2 linked regions of the Diceros bicornis minor genome follow. The protein of the gene in region 2 purifies or fractionates together with the protein of the main gene of each other region. This does not show direct contact. Links are inferred from orthologs where the notes say so. Each region holds a gene or a part of one and is shown on either strand. Other genes may lie near its edges. The genes, in order: SPRTN and POLD3.

Region 1 (8,290 bases), on a different chromosome or scaffold from region 2:
CCTAAAATGGGGATATCCTAATCTTGCAGGGTTGTGGTAAAGCATACTCTAGATTAACTATATTAACACTAGTTAATCTAGTCCAAAGTCTGGCACACAACAGGTGCTCAATAGTGAGTGAGTGGTAGGAGTGGTGATAGTAGTAGTAATAAACTCTGCATGTATGAAGCTTTTCTTGACCTCCTCAACCAGATAGAGTTCTTTCCTTCTCTGAACCTATTCATTATAATTTAGGTAGCTACTTTAAATACAGACCAGGGTCCCACTGTTCCTCCTGTGTCCTTCTTACCCGATTTGATACTGTAACTTTCCACCCACAGCAAATGCTCAGCTGATACCATTACCACACATTTCCCATTCTCTTCTCACCCATTATCTTTTAAACAAAATTTGTTCATATGTTTATTTAATCATTTATGCAATAAATATTCATTAAGCCACTATTATTCCAATTAGGGCTCCTTGTCAGGTTGATTTGGTTAATCATGTTGTTCGATTTTTTTTGTTTTACGTCTACTATTTTTTTTCTGCTTATTCATTGAGTTACCAAGAGACTTATAACATCCGCAACTCTGACTGTGGATTATTTCTCTTTTTGCTTCTGCTAATTTATGCTTCGTTTGCTTAAAGCTATGTAATTACTTTTAGGCTTGTTATGTTTTTATTTAATAGAATATTTTATCACTATAAAATATCTCCCCTTTTTTCCAAGTAAAACTTCTTCCTTTAAAATCTTTAGTCTAATACTAATATAGCCACAACAACTTTCTATTTACTTTTTTCCATCCTTTTACACTTAACATATGTGTGTCTATTTTAAGTATGTCTCTTTTAATCTAGTGTGTCATTTCATGTCTTTAACTGGAGTGTTTAGTCCATTTACATTTAATATAATTATTGATATTGTGCTTATGCCTACCTTTCTCTTTATCCAGGCTTTGTTCCTTTATTCCTCTTTCCTTTTTTATTAATCAAGTATTTCTGTTGTACTATTTTACATTTATTAGCTATTTACTTTCTTAAAAATTGTGGTAAAAAACACATTACATAAAATTTACATCTTAACTATTTTTAAGTGTACAGTTCAATAATGTTAAGTACATTCATACTGCTGTGAAACTCATTACCTTTTATTATCCTTAAAAACAGCATCCCTCATATTTCCAAGCATGTTTTAACATATTTCCCATCCAATGTCTACCACCCTATGCTCTTTTGTGCATACAAAGTGATATAACTGGGGCAAGACAAGTCACACTGGGTGCATCCTGGAGAATTTCAGGCATCTGTTAGACTCAACTAACCATAATCTAAGAGTTCCCACTGTTCCATTTTGCTAGCAGGAGTGACCACTAGCTCCAGATAGGAAGTGTGCCCTCACGCTGGTTTGTTCTGCCAGCTGGGCTAGATGTCCTGGGAGGGCAGGACCATGGTGGTTGAATAAAGGAGAGTCAAAATTTGTGTCTTAATAGGAAGATCTGAATCCTAAGTTTTTCTCTGCTTCTAAATATGTAACTTAAACCAGTTACTTAATCTCTCTGAATCTTAATTTCCTTTTATAAAAATGAGGATAACACACAATGAACATAAACAGGGTTGTTGTAAAGATCAATTTAGATAATATACATGAAAGCCTTTAACTTTGAAGCACTATAAAAATAGAAGGTAATCATTATTATCTGCCCCACAAAGTTTGCAATGAGGGAAAACTAGTTTCCTTTTTTGACACGTACAGGTTAATTCACAGGAGTCTAAATCAATAATAAGCATTTCTAAGTTACTGAATTAAGAATCAAGTTTATGCAAAGAATACCTCTACAAGATCCTTCCTCGGTCTCAACTTTAAAAGGGGTTCACTGAGACGGATGGAACACATTCCACCCCTCCCTTCATAGCTGCATATCCCAGCACACCTGGAAAACAACCACCACAAAAGCATGATTTACCAAATACATACAAAAGGGAAATAGAGAGGAAAGAGCAAACCCATATACATTCTTGGGCAGTTCACACTGAGAACTCTACGGCAGATGGCTTTCTTAAAAGTATACCCTCTTCCCTGGGAGATATTTGCATTTCACCCCAGTTATGGACATATGTGAACAGTAGTGGCTTCCCTTACCCTAACCAGGCTGCAACAGCTCAAAGAAGATAATCCTATTCTGCTGCTCCCAGTCTCCTCCCTACAAACTATAATCAGTTTGTGGCAGTAACAGCCAGATCTCCATTAGCACATCTCAAAATTATAATACAAGCCTATGTGAAGAAAACGTGCACTTTAAACACAATTTTATATGATATCTTAATCTGTTTTATTTTAGGTTGTTTTGTATCACTTCAAAAACAAGCACGGTAATATACAACCGCATCTTAAACTTGTTAACTCCGTTCCTGTACAGGACTCGATTATTTCAAATCGAGATTTCTCAAATTTAGCGTGTAGGAAAGGAATCCTTTTAGAGGCATCCCCGAAGACCCCTTAGGTCCAGAAATACGGAAACGTCAAGCCCTTGCCCACTCTAACACACGAGCTCACTACTAAGCGGTGCGATCCTAATGAGCATAGAAGAGGACAACACGCCTCTGGAGGTTTCACTGCGTCCTCAGCATTCCAGACTCTGGTTGCTTCTCCTTCCTGGCTCCTAAAACACTACAGTAAATCAAATCAGAAATGTGTTAATTTATTTTCAAGTGAGGTGAGATTCAAAGAAACATCCTCTTCTCTCATTGTGTCCCCTATAAGTCAAACCGTAGCGAGGTGGGCCACACAGCTTTCTTAAAGTTGTCTGGGTGGGAAAGAGAGATAGGGTAGGAAAGGGAGAAATACACGGAGAGGAGGTGCCTGGTCCAAAACCAGACGCCCTCGTTTAACGGCCCCTGGGCCGTCGAGGCGGAGAAGAAGAGAAGCCCAGGGCCAGGGGCTGAGGAAGGGCAGCCAGCCGCCTCTTTTCCCCAACGGGCTCGGGACTCACAGGGTCATTCGCATGCTCCACTTCACCTCGACGGCCTCCAGTTGGCCCCAGAAGAACCGGTCGTTGAACTGCACAAACAGGGCCTGCAAATCCGGGGTGGGGTCCACCAACTCCCAGGACGCGTCCACCAGTGACAAGGGCTCCTGGGCTTGATCGCACTCCGAGACCTCCAAGTTCCACTCCTCCTGAAGCCGTAGTGCCAAAACCAGGTCCTCATCCATCGCTGCCAGGATCCCAGCGAGGTCCGCCGGCTCAGAAACCCAAGGGCCGGGTGGAGCTCCTGGGAGATACCGGCTCTCGGGTCAGCCCGCCGATGTCGCGAGAACTCAGGAAAACTGGCGCGAGAACGAGAACTCAGCTTGCCCCCAAGGCCGACACCAGGATTCTGGGGCTTAAAAAAAAGAAGTCAGCGTGACACCTCCTAGTGGGCTCGAAACTGGGATTCCCAGGGCTTGGGCGAGAGGAAGGTTTCACTAAGCTGGTTATCGCCTTTACGCTTCGCCGGTAACTTCAAACACCAACGCCACGCTCGGCCCATGCGCACTACCTACGTCTCTTTGCCTTTCCCTCTACTCACTTCCGCAATACTCCCCCGGCGCACGCGCTCTAGGCCAATGGCGTTCCTGCGCAGACGCATTGTCTGCGCCCGGCCCCTCGCGCAGGCGCAGTGTCTAACGCTCAGACTCGAGCGCAGGCGTACTTGTCTGTCTCCCATCTGTTCCTCAGCCCTGGAGCTCGGCGGGGTTTGGGTGGGTCTCGACAGCGGCGGCACCGTCAGCAGCGATAGTGACAGTGACTGCGTGGGGCCCGGACGGAAATGGCGATGGCGATGTCGGACAGTGGGGCGAGCCGCCTGCGGCGACAGCTGGAGTCGGGGGGCTTTGAGGCGCGGCTGTACGTGAAGCAGCTCTCGCAGCAGTCGGACGGGGACCGGGACCTGCAGGAGCACCGGCAGCGCATCCAGGCGCTGGCGGAGGAGACGGCGCAGAACCTGAAGCGCAACGTCTACCAGAACTACCGGCAGTTCATCGAGACGGCCCGCGAGATCTCCTACCTGGAGAGCGAGATGTATCAGCTCAGCCACCTGCTGACGGAGCAGAAGAGCAGCCTGGAGAGCATCCCGCTCACCCTGCTGCCAGCTGCCGCCGCCGCTGGGGCCGCCGCGGCCTCCGGAGGGGAGGAGGCAGGGGGCGGCCCGGCCGGCCGAGACCACTTCCGCGGCCAGGCTAGCTTCTTTCCCACCCCCGGGGGCGCCTCCCGCGACAGCTCCGGGTCGGGCGAGGAAGGAAAGCAGCGCACTCTCACCACTCTGCTGGAGAAGGTGGAAGGCTGCAGGCACCTGCTAGAGACGCCGGGACAGTACCTGGTGTACAACGGGGACTTGGTGGAATACGACGCGGACCACATGGCCCAAGTGCAGCGGGTGCACGGCTTTCTCATGAACGACTGTTTGCTGGTGGCCACCTGGCTGCCACAGCGGCGGGGGATGTATCGCTACGACGCTCTCTATCCTCTAGATGGTTTGGCTGTGGTCAATGTCAAGGACAACCCGCCCATGAAGGACATGTTCAAGCTGCTGATGTTTCCCGAGAGCCGTATTTTTCAGGCAGAAAATGCTAAAATTAAACGGGAGTGGCTGGAAGTGCTGGAGGAAACGAAGAGGGCCCTCGGTGAAAAGAGACGAAGGGAGCAGGAGGAGGCAGCGGCCCCTCGAGGGCCACCCCAAGTGACTTCCAAGGCCAGTAACCCATTTGAGGATGAAGACGACGACGAACCAGCTATTCCTGAGGTAGAGGAAGAGAAGGTGGACCTCTCAATGGAATGGATCCAGGAGTTGCCTGAAGACCTGGATGTTTGTATTGCCCAGAGGGACTTTGAAGGGGCCGTTGACCTGCTGGATAAATTGAACCATTACCTGGAAGATAAGCCCAGTCCACCTCCTGTAAAAGAACTAAGGGCCAAAGTGGATGAGCGTGTCCGACAGCTCACTGAGGTGTTGGTTTTTGAACTCTCCCCAGATCGTTCCCTGAGAGGTGGTCCCAAGGCTACTCGCAGGGCAGTTTCTCAACTAATCCGGCTTGGCCAGTGCACGAAGGCTTGTGAGCTCTTCTTGAGAAACAGGGCAGCAGCTGTGCACACTGCCATCCGTCAGCTTCGCATTGAAGGTGCCACTTTACTGTACATTCATAAGCTATGCCATGTCTTCTTTACCAGCCTTCTTGAGACTGCAAGGGAATTTGAGACAGATTTTTCAGGCACTGACAGCGGCTGCTACTCTGCCTTTGTGGTCTGGGCGAGATCAGCCATGGGCATGTTTGTGGATGCTTTTAGCAAGCAGGTGTTTGACAGTAAGGAGAGCCTCTCTACAGCAGCCGAGTGTGTAAAAGTGGCAAAGGAGCATTGTCAGCAACTGGGTGACATCGGACTAGACCTTACCTTCATCATCCACGCCCTTCTGGTGAAAGACATCCAAGGTGCCTTGCACAGTTACAAAGAGATCATAATTGAAGCCACTAAACATCGCAACTCGGAGGAGATGTGGAGGAGGATGAACTTGATGACTCCAGAGGCCCTGGGTAAACTCAAAGAGGAGATGAAGAGTTGTGGGGTGAGTAACTTCGAGCAGTACACAGGGGATGACTGCTGGGTGAACCTCAGTTACACAGTGGTGGCCTTTACCAAGCAGACCATGGGCTTCTTGGAAGAAGCACTGAAGCTGTATTTCCCAGAGCTGCACATGGTACTTTTGGAGAGCCTGGTGGAAATCATTTTGGTTGCTGTTCAGCATGTGGATTATAGTCTTCGGTGTGAGCAGGATCCAGAGAAGAAGGCCTTTATCAGACAGAATGCATCCTTCCTATATGAAACAGTCCTCCCTGTGGTGGAGAAAAGGTTTGAAGAAGGTGTGGGGAAACCCGCCAAGCAACTCCAGGACCTGAGGAATGCATCTAGACTTATTCGTGTGAATCCTGAAAGTACAACGTCAGTGGTCTGATGCTTGGGTCTGTTTATATGTATACGTATATGTTGCTTATATATTATTTATATTTATATTAAGTTGTATTAGCATATTCTTTATAGTCTCAAACACAGCTTAAAAATAAAAGATGCCCTCTCAGTTAGAAATGCAAAATCAAAAGGAGAAAGAAAAAGATGTTAAATTAACCCTAAATAACAATAACATTGGAATTAGTAAAATATATAATATGCTTTTCTTTTAAATCATGCTCATTCTCTAATGAATATATTATCACATTACAGCATTTCAGCTTATCCTTTGAGTCAAAACACACTTTCTCACAGTATATATTATGCAGCAGAGAAAAATAATATCTATAAATACATAGAGTTTAAGTATGTTGTGAAACGTTTCCTAGTTCACTAAAATGTTAGGTTTCTTAAAGGAGACAATGCCGTATAAAACACCCTGCTTTATATACTTCCTTAAAATGCTTAATATACTTCACCTTAAAATGTGATTGAACAATTTGGGGACAAGGAAGGAGGAGTTGAGAAAATTGGTTTTAGGGTAAATTTCAGTCAACAGAATTGCTTCTTGAGAGTAGCTAGTGTGGACTCAAACACTCTGATCCTTATAGAATACAAGAGGAAGCTTTCATAAAAACAGTGCAGCAAACATTTCTAATGTAATTTGAATGGCTAATGATTTTCAGCTGCTAATTAGCAGCTTTATAATATTTGATTTGGGAGCATTTACTTGAAAATCTTAAGGACTATGATAAATATTTTTTTCAGCATATTCCTGAATTGTTTGAATTTCCAGCTGGAGCTGTTGTCTTTTCATATTAAAAAAATAAAAATAATAAAAAACAGGACACATTGAAGAACCTGACAGCAGCTGGTGGTTTTTAGCTGTCCTCCCCCACTGTCAGCCTAGGTTACAGAGTGGTCAGACTCCATGCCAATCGGGCCAAGTTTTCATTGAAACATTTATTTAAATTTCAGGGTCTGGGTAGATGGGAAATTAGAAAAAATCCTATGCAAACCCCACAGTGTTCTCCGGATGACTACTTTGGAGGTTTGTTTTTGGTTTTTTGTAACCGAGTGGAGAACAGAAAGGTGAGACACAGTGCCCAAGCGATTTGGTGACTCCCACTGAAATGCTCCATGCTGCGTTTTTCTTGTTTTAGTTTTTATTTTCCTTGTTTTGTTTTTAAAGTGAATATAATGCTTACTTCAGATTGTTTAGTAAAACAAAAATAACTAAAGAAATTTGAGCTTCCCAAGGTTTCTAACCTATTGCTTCTATTGTACTTGATTATAACATTTCTCATGCTTGGAGAGAAATTGTGCTAAGATCCATTTCTCCCCTAGCTTCTAGTTGTCATTCCTGTCCATAAGTGCCATTTCTGATGCTGATGACTTCAAAAGGTCATTTCTTTTATCTGAATAAAGATAGTGGTATTAAGACTGTGGAAATTATGTAAAACCTAAAATAGCTTCCAAATAGTGGCTTAGGGAGGGTTGTAGAGCTCTTTCAGTTAATGACTCAGATGCCAGATGAGCCCTTTTATTTTATTTTTACCTATGCATATTTACAAGGTTGGAAATGATCAAAGTTACAGATTTTCTTTGACTAATTTTTTCATATAACTTTAGGATTTTCTAGATAATAACCATATAACTGGATATCTCAGCTGACCAAAAACAGTTATAGTTTGTCGCTTTTAAGATCACTGGAAACTTGAATATGATCAAAATTTTGTGATTACTTTGTGCTACTTACAGTTTCTAAAACTATATTGTATGAAACATGTATTGTGTAAATATTTGATGCTGGGTCCATGAAATGATACTTCTGAAATCAGAACTTCTCTGAAGTCATGAAGTTGTAAAAACTTAAATGTGTATGCTCAGATATATCAGCTTTTTAAAACTGGAAGTACAGAATTTTCTTCTGTTAGAATTTGTGTGTTCCTCAGTCAAAGTTATAGCTGAAGGAAGTAGCTTTTGGTGAATCAATTATTGTGGGGAGTTGATTAAAGACCACCTATGTCATAATGTACCTTTGCGCCAGGACAGAGCAATGACATTTTGTTCCTCAAAGTGGAGTCAGAGCTCTTCTCTCTAATTCTTGTTTCATTAGACTCCTGAACAAGTCAAGGAATAGAATGCAGTTACAGATTGTCGAAAAATATAGTACATACTGTAATATACCACTTAAGGCTTGATTGCCCTTTCTTGTTTGCTTCAAATGTAACACTGTCACTTGAGCGTGGAATCATAGACTTGATTGAAATAATTACTGTTGAAAAACGATACCCTGTGGAATTAAGTCTCTTTTTGATTAAAGCCTC
Region 2 (8,579 bases):
CGAGTTTGTAGTATTCTTTTATGGCAGCCCTAGAAAACTAATACACCATGTAATGAAATATTATTCAGCCCTAAAAAGGAGTGCAGGGCTGCTACATGCTATAACATGGACAAACCTTAAAAATATTATGCTAAGTGAAAGAAATCACACACACAAGATTACATATTGTATGATGCCATTTATACGAAATGTCCAGGATAGGCAAATCTACAGACAGAGTATATTAGTGGCTGCCTAATGCTGGAGGGAGGTGGGGGGGGGGACCGAAATAGGGGGAAAATGGTGAGTGACTGTTCATGGATACAGGGTTTCTTTTTGGGGTGATGAAAATGTTCTAAAATTAATTGCAGCGATGACTGCACAACTGTGAATATACTAAACACTACTGAATTGCACATTTTAAATGGGTGAATTGTATTGTATGTAAATTCTATCCCAATAAAGCTGTTTTTTAAAAAAAAGAATTATGAAAGAAATTAACAGGAAGATATGACAGAGAGCTAGGGAGTGGTGGGGATACCTGAAATAGAGCATTAGGGAAGGGCTGTTACAAGAAATAACGTGTGAAATTGGAGCTGAAACCTAAAGGATGAGGACAGCTGGGAGAAGAGCATTCCAGCCAGAGGGAATGGTGCAAATGTCCCAGGGTGAGAACGGGCTTGGGATATATGAGGAACAGAAAGGCAAATACGGTTAGAGTATAAGTGAGGTAGAGAGTGGCATGGGATGAAGTTGGTAGATAGGCAGGGCCTAAACAGTATGTTAATTCTATAAAAATTACAAGTAATAAGAGTAGCTACAGTAAAATTGCAGGCAAATTTATTTCATCTCCAGTCCTCAACATGCACCTTTAAACCCCAACAGGCTTATCTAATAGTTACCTTATTTTATATTTAAACGTTCATAACCGCAACAAATTATTACTCTTACAGGTGTCCATTCTCAAAATTACCTGAACCTCTTGGGTTTGGGCCAGGACCGGTCTTAGCAACAGCAATCTCAGTCAAAATCAGTCCAAACCCATTCCTGGGCCAAGAGTTTCAGGTCTTGAAGGCATAAACATCACAGTCAAAATCAGATTCCTAAATCTGTCAAACAGCAAACCAAATAAAGCCAAATCTACCCATTTTAGAGATCCGGGATTTTCTAAGACTCATGGAATGTTCCTATGACTCAAGGAATAGGGAAAATCAGACTACCTTCAGGAATAAAACAAACTAAATGAGTATTTCACGCAATATATGTGCCCTCAGCCTGTTCACCAATTCCTCCTCTTGGGACATAAACAACATCTGCATATTTGCAGGTCAAGAAATTTTTGAAGTTAATTCCAAAGTTTGTTTCTCCCTTTTGGCCTCAAGTTGGACTATAAGTTTCAGCAAGGAAAAGTGATATGGCAAATTCAAGAAAGGTAATGCTCTATGCCATCCTAAACACTCGCTTTTCAGTTTCACTATTTAAGTGAAGTTAAAAAAACTATTTAAGTTCTCCCGTCTCATACTATTATACAGCTTGTGTAAAACACCTGTTGACCTCATTATGGAAGTATGTCAATAACACCCAGAGATGGGCCTAAGGAGCACGTGTGAAAACATAATGAAGATGTGAGATAACAGGCATATAAATCTGAGGTATAAACAGAACTGGCTAGTCTGTTTAATAAATTTGATATAACAAAGTGATATTAACCAGAGGGCAAGGTTACAAATAAACCCAGTAAATGTATCACCACACATTTGAGTAGAAGTCCACTTATCTCCAAAATAATAAAAGTAGTAAAAGGTAGTAAAAATAGCATGCTTTCCCATTTTTCCAGAAAAAAAAAAATAATTCTAACCTAGAGGTCATCTGTAAAGCTAAAAAACAAAGCAAAACGAAAAACTCCAATGCGATTAAAATTAGTAATAAATTGGACTTACTGTTTGGCCTGGTTGACGTGAACCCCTAGTGTATAGCTCAGCCATTTGTACGTCACCTGCAAGAAGAAATTTTTTAAACGTTTTATCAGATGACTCCAGAGTGCAGGTCAGTCCCAGGGGGTCCTAAAAGGTCCTACTCTTAGATGATTACACTTTATAAATTACAATAGATGCCACCCCAGTTTGCCAAGAATGATCCATCTGGGCAGGCAGGATGGAGAGATTTCTCTTACAAATACTAAGAAGTTTGTTTCACAGACCAATTAATGCAAAAGAGTCTAAAAAGAAAGGTTGAATATACATAGAAAGAAAAGGGCTCTCATTTTTCTCACACTCCTTGTTTTACTAAGGCTCTTTTTTTCACATTCTGTCCCTTTTTGGGGCCACCACCAAAAATTATCTTCAAATTCACCCAGAAGCTAGATTTCTTTGAAGTGTATGACTTGGAAACTTCTAAGGAAAGTTGCAGCCATACAAACAAACATTAAAGGGCACCAGTGGTGCAGGGGCCAGAGAATGAATGAAGTGGATGAATACTGCATCAGAGGGTAGACTGGGAACTAAATGCATCAAGCCTTGATCTTCCTTCCATCCTTCCTTGAACTCTCCTGTCACTTGTCGCCTCCTTGCATGCCTATCACTCTCCTCTCAAAGTCTTCCAATTCTAAATGCTGTTTCCAATAATTAGAAGACTTACATAGGTTAGGCAAAGGCAGTATGATGTAGAAGAAAGCATTAGCAAGAGACAGACCTAGGTTGGAAAAATGCCTATCCCCTACTAATTCGTATAAATCCTTACTTTATTTGTATAAAGAAATTATTTGGCCCCTCTGCTTCAACTTCCTTTTCTAACTCTCGGTAGGTCACCGTAAAGATTAAATGCAATAATGTGGATCCAAAGTTCACAGCAGGCACTCAATTACCCACGGTTTGCAAAGCGCATTCACATCCATCATCTCACTTGAGCTTTACTCCAACCTGTGAGGCAGGTCAAGCCTGTGTCCATACCAAATTTACAGGAAGAGGAAACCGACTGTCAGAAAATTCAACAACTTGTCACTTAACCCAGTTAAGACATAATTTCCTCAACTGTAAACTTGGGACTTAAACGCCAACCACCTTATCAGACAGGTGTAGGGACACCCTAGAAATATTATCAACCAACGCCCCGCCCTCCGCGCCTGACCTCCACGGCCCCTGGGGCGTGGGCACGCCCACTCGAGGGACGCGGAGTTGCGCGCGCGCCAGAGGGCCTCTTCCGCGAGTCCTCGCTGGCCCTGAGGCACGAGGCGTGGACCCCCCTCTCCCTTCGCCGGTCCCCACGAGGACACACGCCGAGGGGTCAAGACCCCCGCCGCCCTCGCTGGGCCCAGGACCCCCGTCGCACGCCCGCCTTCCCCAGTCCTAGCTCCTCACGATCTTGTTCTGGTCCGTGACGAACTCGTCTATATTTTCCAGATAAAGCTGGTCCGCCATGGTGCTGCGACGCCGGTCCCCGCCGCCTCAGAGCTCCCCTTGCCGCCACAAGCGCAGCTCCCGCCGGCGGGAAACGTCTTTTCTCCCACCCAGGTCCCGGGTCGTTTCCCACGGCAACGGAGGCGACGCGCTACGGCGGCCGTCCGAGGGTCAAACTAGTCTCCGAGATGGCGCAGGCTGAAGTGGGCGGAGCTTGTAGGAGCGGGCGGAAGTGAGGAGCTGGGAGAGCGGGCGTGGACTAGACGGGCTGTCTGGGAATCTCTGGTTTCAAATCTCAGCTCTGCTAGTTAATGACTGACCCAGGGTAAAATACCTCACCTCGAGGAGCCACAGTCTCTCCACATGAAAGTTGATGAAATAATCCTTGCTCTTGCATCCCTTTATTCAACAAATATTTATCAAGTACCTATTCTATTTGAGGCACTTCTTTAGCACTGGGGACCCAGCAGTGAACAATAGAGACGGAAATAAACAAGTAGTATTAGTAAAGTAATGCCAGCAGGGATAAGGTGCTGCTTGTTATAAATCCCTCAGAATCGAACATTCGGGAAGGTTTTCCAGAGGGGATGGGAGAAGCAGAGTGTTTCAGATACAGGCAGGAGCGTTGCTGGTAAGAGAAAAAGGTTCACCATAGCTGGAATGTTGGGAGAAGAGGAGAAAGAGGAGGAATGAGACTTGGGAGAAGCCAAATCATGCTGCGCCTACAAGGCTCTGTGAAGGGGCACATGGACTTTATTCTCGGGAAAAGTTTTCAGGTTGGGGAATTGCAACTAAAATTTCTCCTAACATCCACTAAAAAACAACCTTTATCATTGACTTCAGCATCAGCCAATGTAGTTCAATGCAGCAGCATTATGGATAATCCAGCAGTTATCTAGAGTTAGAGCCTGGATTTGAATCCTGGTTTTGATATTTGTTGTATGACCTTAAGTGAGTTATTTAACCACTGCAAGTCTGTTTCTCCATCTATAAGATGAAAGTAATAATAGTACCCACTTCGAACGTTTGTTGCTACATGCATTCATTCAAGACATACTTAGCAAAAGCCTACTAAGGGCCAGGCACTGTTCTGGGTGCTGGGGTGCTGGGGATACAGCTATGATCAATAATACACAGAACCTGTTCACATATAGCTTACAGCCTTGTGAAGAGATTTAAGTGACGGATGGTAGTGGCTTAAAGTAGGATAGTAGTAGTGGAAATTGAGAGACCTGAGTGACTTGGGTCTTCTTTTTAGAGTCAGCAAAACCTGCTGATGAAGTAGATGAGAGGAGTGTGGGAAAGACAGGAATCAAGGAAAATGCCTAGATTTGGAACCTAAATTGTTAGGTAAATGGTAAAGCATTTGACTACTGAGATGTAGAAGACTGAGAGAAAGAGAAGATGAGGAAATCAAAGAATTCTATTTGGCCAGAGTTATAAACAAGATAATATACATAAACCCCTCACACTATGTCTGCACACAATAAAATCAATAACATTTGGCTATTACAGTACTATATACCAGGCACACTGTACCAGGTGCATTGAGAGTGAGATTTCATTTAATCCTGATAGCAACCCTGCAAATGCCTTGTGTTTGTCCAGATTTTATAGACTAAATTGCCTAGGCTTAAGAGAGGAGACATGGCTGGGTCTGGCTCCCTGGCCTGGTGGTTAAGTTCAGCACACTCCACTTTGGTGGCCCAGGTTCACAGGTTTGGATCCTGGGTGTGGACCTACACCACTCGTCAGCCATGCTGTGGCAATGTCCCACATACAGAATAGAGGAAAATTGACACAGATCTTAGCTCAGGGAGAATCTTTCTCAACAAAAAAAAAAAAGAGAGAGGAGACATGGATTTTCTAGGTCACAGGGTTAAGTGGTAGCATTGGGATTGGAACTCAAGTTTCTTGTCATTGCTACACAGGAGTGGGAAATAAGTCAAGATAATTCACCAGAGAGGAGTCTGAATACTAACCCTATGCCAAAGGGAGAGATGATAATGCTGGCCCACCGTGGTCCTAGATATACCAATATTAAGAGAGTTGCATGACTTTTAGAAGCCAGATTAGTGGTTACCCTTTGGAGAGTAGGAAGTGGAAGGCTTCGGAGAAAAGGGTGATGTTCTGGTTCTGGATCTCGGCACTGGTCTCATGGGTAGGTTGAGTTTGTGAAAATGATTTGAATTGTACACTTCTGATATGTATAGTTTTCTGTATGTATGTTCACGCCAATAAAGAGTTTAAGAAAAGTGATTATTTGAAGAGTCTTAAATACTGTCCCAAGTCTTGTCAAACCAGGAAAATAGAAAACAGGTACAGGTATTGGAAAGAATGGATTTAGTCTTAACCTTAGACAAAAGAAGAGAGATTCTGGGAAGAAGGGATAATGGGTAAAAATGGACCCCAAGCAAGATAGTAATGGGATTATCAAATAAGATAAATGACCAAAGGCATCTCCAAATCTGAGGTGGAGTAATGGTACTAGAAAAGAATGACCACGGCCCAGGAGTGGGTAGGCTGGGAGTTGGGCTTGTACCTTAAGGGTAAGGTTGCCGGAGGGGGAAGGGAAGGGTTAGCTTTTCTGTTTGTGGCCGAGGCCTACCCAGCCTGAACATTCCCACCTCAGGGGAGCATAGCTGAATAGAAAGCATGTGGGCTTTGGAAATAAAATTTTTCTTTTAAAAAGCAAGCAAGCAAACAAACAAAAACCTGGGCTTGAATCCCAGCTCTACCACTTCCTAGCTGTGTGGCCTTAGGCAAATCATTTAACCTCTCTAGTCCTCAGTTTCATCTTTAAAGAAGGGATAATAATATGCAGTGGTATACTGATAAATGTTTAACAACCAATTTACTGAATAAAAAAGCCCTCATTTGTAGTGGTTGCCAACTTCTGTGGTGTAAATATTCCCACCATAGCAGACTTCAAGCTACCAATATTGATGTCACGGATTGCAGAGTTAGGAAAAGGTACACAATATCACACCATTATTTCCACCACTCAAGTACAATAAACAAATAACCTCAAGAGCATAAATAGTAGTAAAATGCAGTAAAATAATTAGGAAGTGATGAGATTCGAATCTTTATTGTCTTTGTTTTTAATATAATTTGTTTAATTATAAATTTATATAATTTAATTTTTAGTAATTGCCTTGTTTAACAACTGACTTGCAAACTTTCTGAAACTTCAACATTTGGCTCTCCTAAGCAAACACAGACCAGCTCTAGAACACCAGTATAAATAATTTACCTTTTGTGATTAAGGGGATTGAAAGTAACATGTTCTGTGGCTGGTAGATAGCTAAGCTTTTTATAAATGATAACTAGTATTTTATAACAAACACTTATATACCACTAACTATATGCCAGGCTCTGTTCCAAGTGCTTTACAAATATTAACCCATGTAATGTCCATAAGAACCCTAGAAAGTAAGGTGCGTTATTATCCCATTTTTCCACATAAGTAAACATTGGCACAGAGAGGTTAAGTAACTTGCCCAAGATCACAGAGTAAGGGGCAGAGCTAAAACTAAAACCCAGGCAGTCTGGCTCCAGCATCTATGATCGTAAACACTGTGTTTTGCTGTCTCGTTATTAGTTTACACCTGCATATAGGAAAACCAATAATAAATACAGTGAACTCAAACACATTTATTGCAGAACTTTGGAGGAATCCCTGTGCACATCAAAATGAGAATTGCGGAAGCCAAGAAACAAATGGTATATGTTGATTATCTACAGGTTGTGGGAACATAGAATCCAGGCAAACAAGTTAACCTGGGAAGTTTTCAAGGCAGTTGTTGGAAGGGCAGTTGTTGGAAGGGCAGGGGACAGAAAGTTAGATTAGGTTTAGAGAGTTGGAACTATAGCTAGCAAAAGCCAGTAAACAAGAATAGGACTATGTCCAGGAAATTAGTGTTTTTTCTAGATGATGCCTGAAAGCTTAGTTCTAGGGTCAAAAGTAAACCACAGGGGCCAGCCTGATGGCATAGTGGTTGAGTTCGCACGCTCAGCTTTGGTGGCCCAGAGTTCTCGGGTTTGGATCCCGGGCACAGACCTACGCACTGCTTATCAAGCCATGCTGTGGCAGCATCCCACATATAAAGTAGAGAAAGATGGGCACGGATGTTAGCCCAGGGCCAATCTTTCTCAGCAAAAAGAGGATTGGCAACAGATGTTAGCTCAGGGGTAATCTTCTTCACCAAAAAAAAACAAAAAACTAAACCAGAAAAGAGGACCTCTCTGTACTTTCACTTCCATAAATCATAGGTGTGAAAGTCTTTCAGCTCGTGTGCATTGCTGGGATAATAACTATTGTCTATTGAGCACCTACCATGTGTGGGTACCTTTCGTAGAATGACTCATTTCATCCTCAAATAACCCTGCTATTCTATTCTATTCTATTACTCCTTCACCAAAAAGGACTCAAATTTGAAATCAATTTTATGTTATCAATAGGAAGAGTGAATAGGAAATGATTCGATATAGGTTCCAAGACAAGCTTTGCTTAAACTAATAACTAAGTAGGATTTTAGAACTGGCCTCCTTCTAACATAACAACAACCACATCAGCATCTAATAGGTTCTTAGTAAATGTTTATTGACTTAACTTCAATTACACTGAAGGCAAGATTTAAGGGGGAAAAACACTGGATTAAGAAACAAGGTGACCTGAGATAGTGTTCACTTTTTCTTATCATTCATTGAGTATGTAAAGTATATAAGCACCATACTAGACCCTTTACTTGAATATTCTCATTTAATCCTCAAAACAATTCTGTAAAATAAGTAAATATTATTATTTACCTACTGTTATCCCTGTTTTGCAGATGAAGAAGCTGGAGCTCGGAGAGGTTAAGTAACTAGCCCCAACCATATGGGTCATAAGTGGTGGAGACCTCTTTCCACCTAGCTGTGCCCAAAGCCCCTGCTCAGGCACTGTCAGTGTCTTTAGGAGATAGCATTTGGTTGATCTTTATTCTCTTCCTCATTTTATTTTTTCTTTACTCGTGTTTGAATTTTCACAAGAGTTTGTATCATTTTTATCATCAGAAAAAAATAACACATTTTCTTTTTTTTTTAAAAAAATAGAGCATTTTGCAATGTAAAATTAACTCATCTTCTTATTCCAGGCATCTGTAATGTTTTCCCTGTTTGAAATGGAAAAGGCAATCTCCAAAAAGGAATAGTATCACCATT

What was found.
Region 1: the proteins of POLD3 (region 2) and SPRTN purify together in Homo sapiens (affinity purification with mass spectrometry; 3 studies listed by BioGRID, with this or other methods). This does not show direct contact. The link is inferred for Diceros bicornis minor from reciprocal best matches to the Homo sapiens genes POLD3 and SPRTN.

The regions. Positions count from the first base shown.
Region 1 is NC_080745.1:24,863,571-24,871,860, forward strand, and holds the start of SPRTN (DNA-dependent metalloprotease SPRTN), read right to left. Parts: upstream 3,479-8,290; 5' UTR 3,194-3,478; coding exon 2,973-3,193; intron 1,914-2,972; coding exon 1,814-1,913; intron 1-1,813. Other genes in the region: EXOC8 (exocyst complex component 8), read left to right, coding at 3,790-5,967. UniProt on the Homo sapiens protein: DNA-dependent metalloendopeptidase that mediates the proteolytic cleavage of covalent DNA-protein cross-links (DPCs) during DNA synthesis, thereby playing a key role in maintaining genomic integrity.
Region 2 is NC_080746.1:56,440,372-56,448,950, forward strand, and holds the start of POLD3 (DNA polymerase delta subunit 3), read right to left. Parts: upstream 3,543-8,579; 5' UTR 3,396-3,542; coding exon 3,336-3,395; intron 1,976-3,335; coding exon 1,920-1,975; intron 1-1,919. UniProt on the Homo sapiens protein: Accessory component of both the DNA polymerase delta complex and the DNA polymerase zeta complex.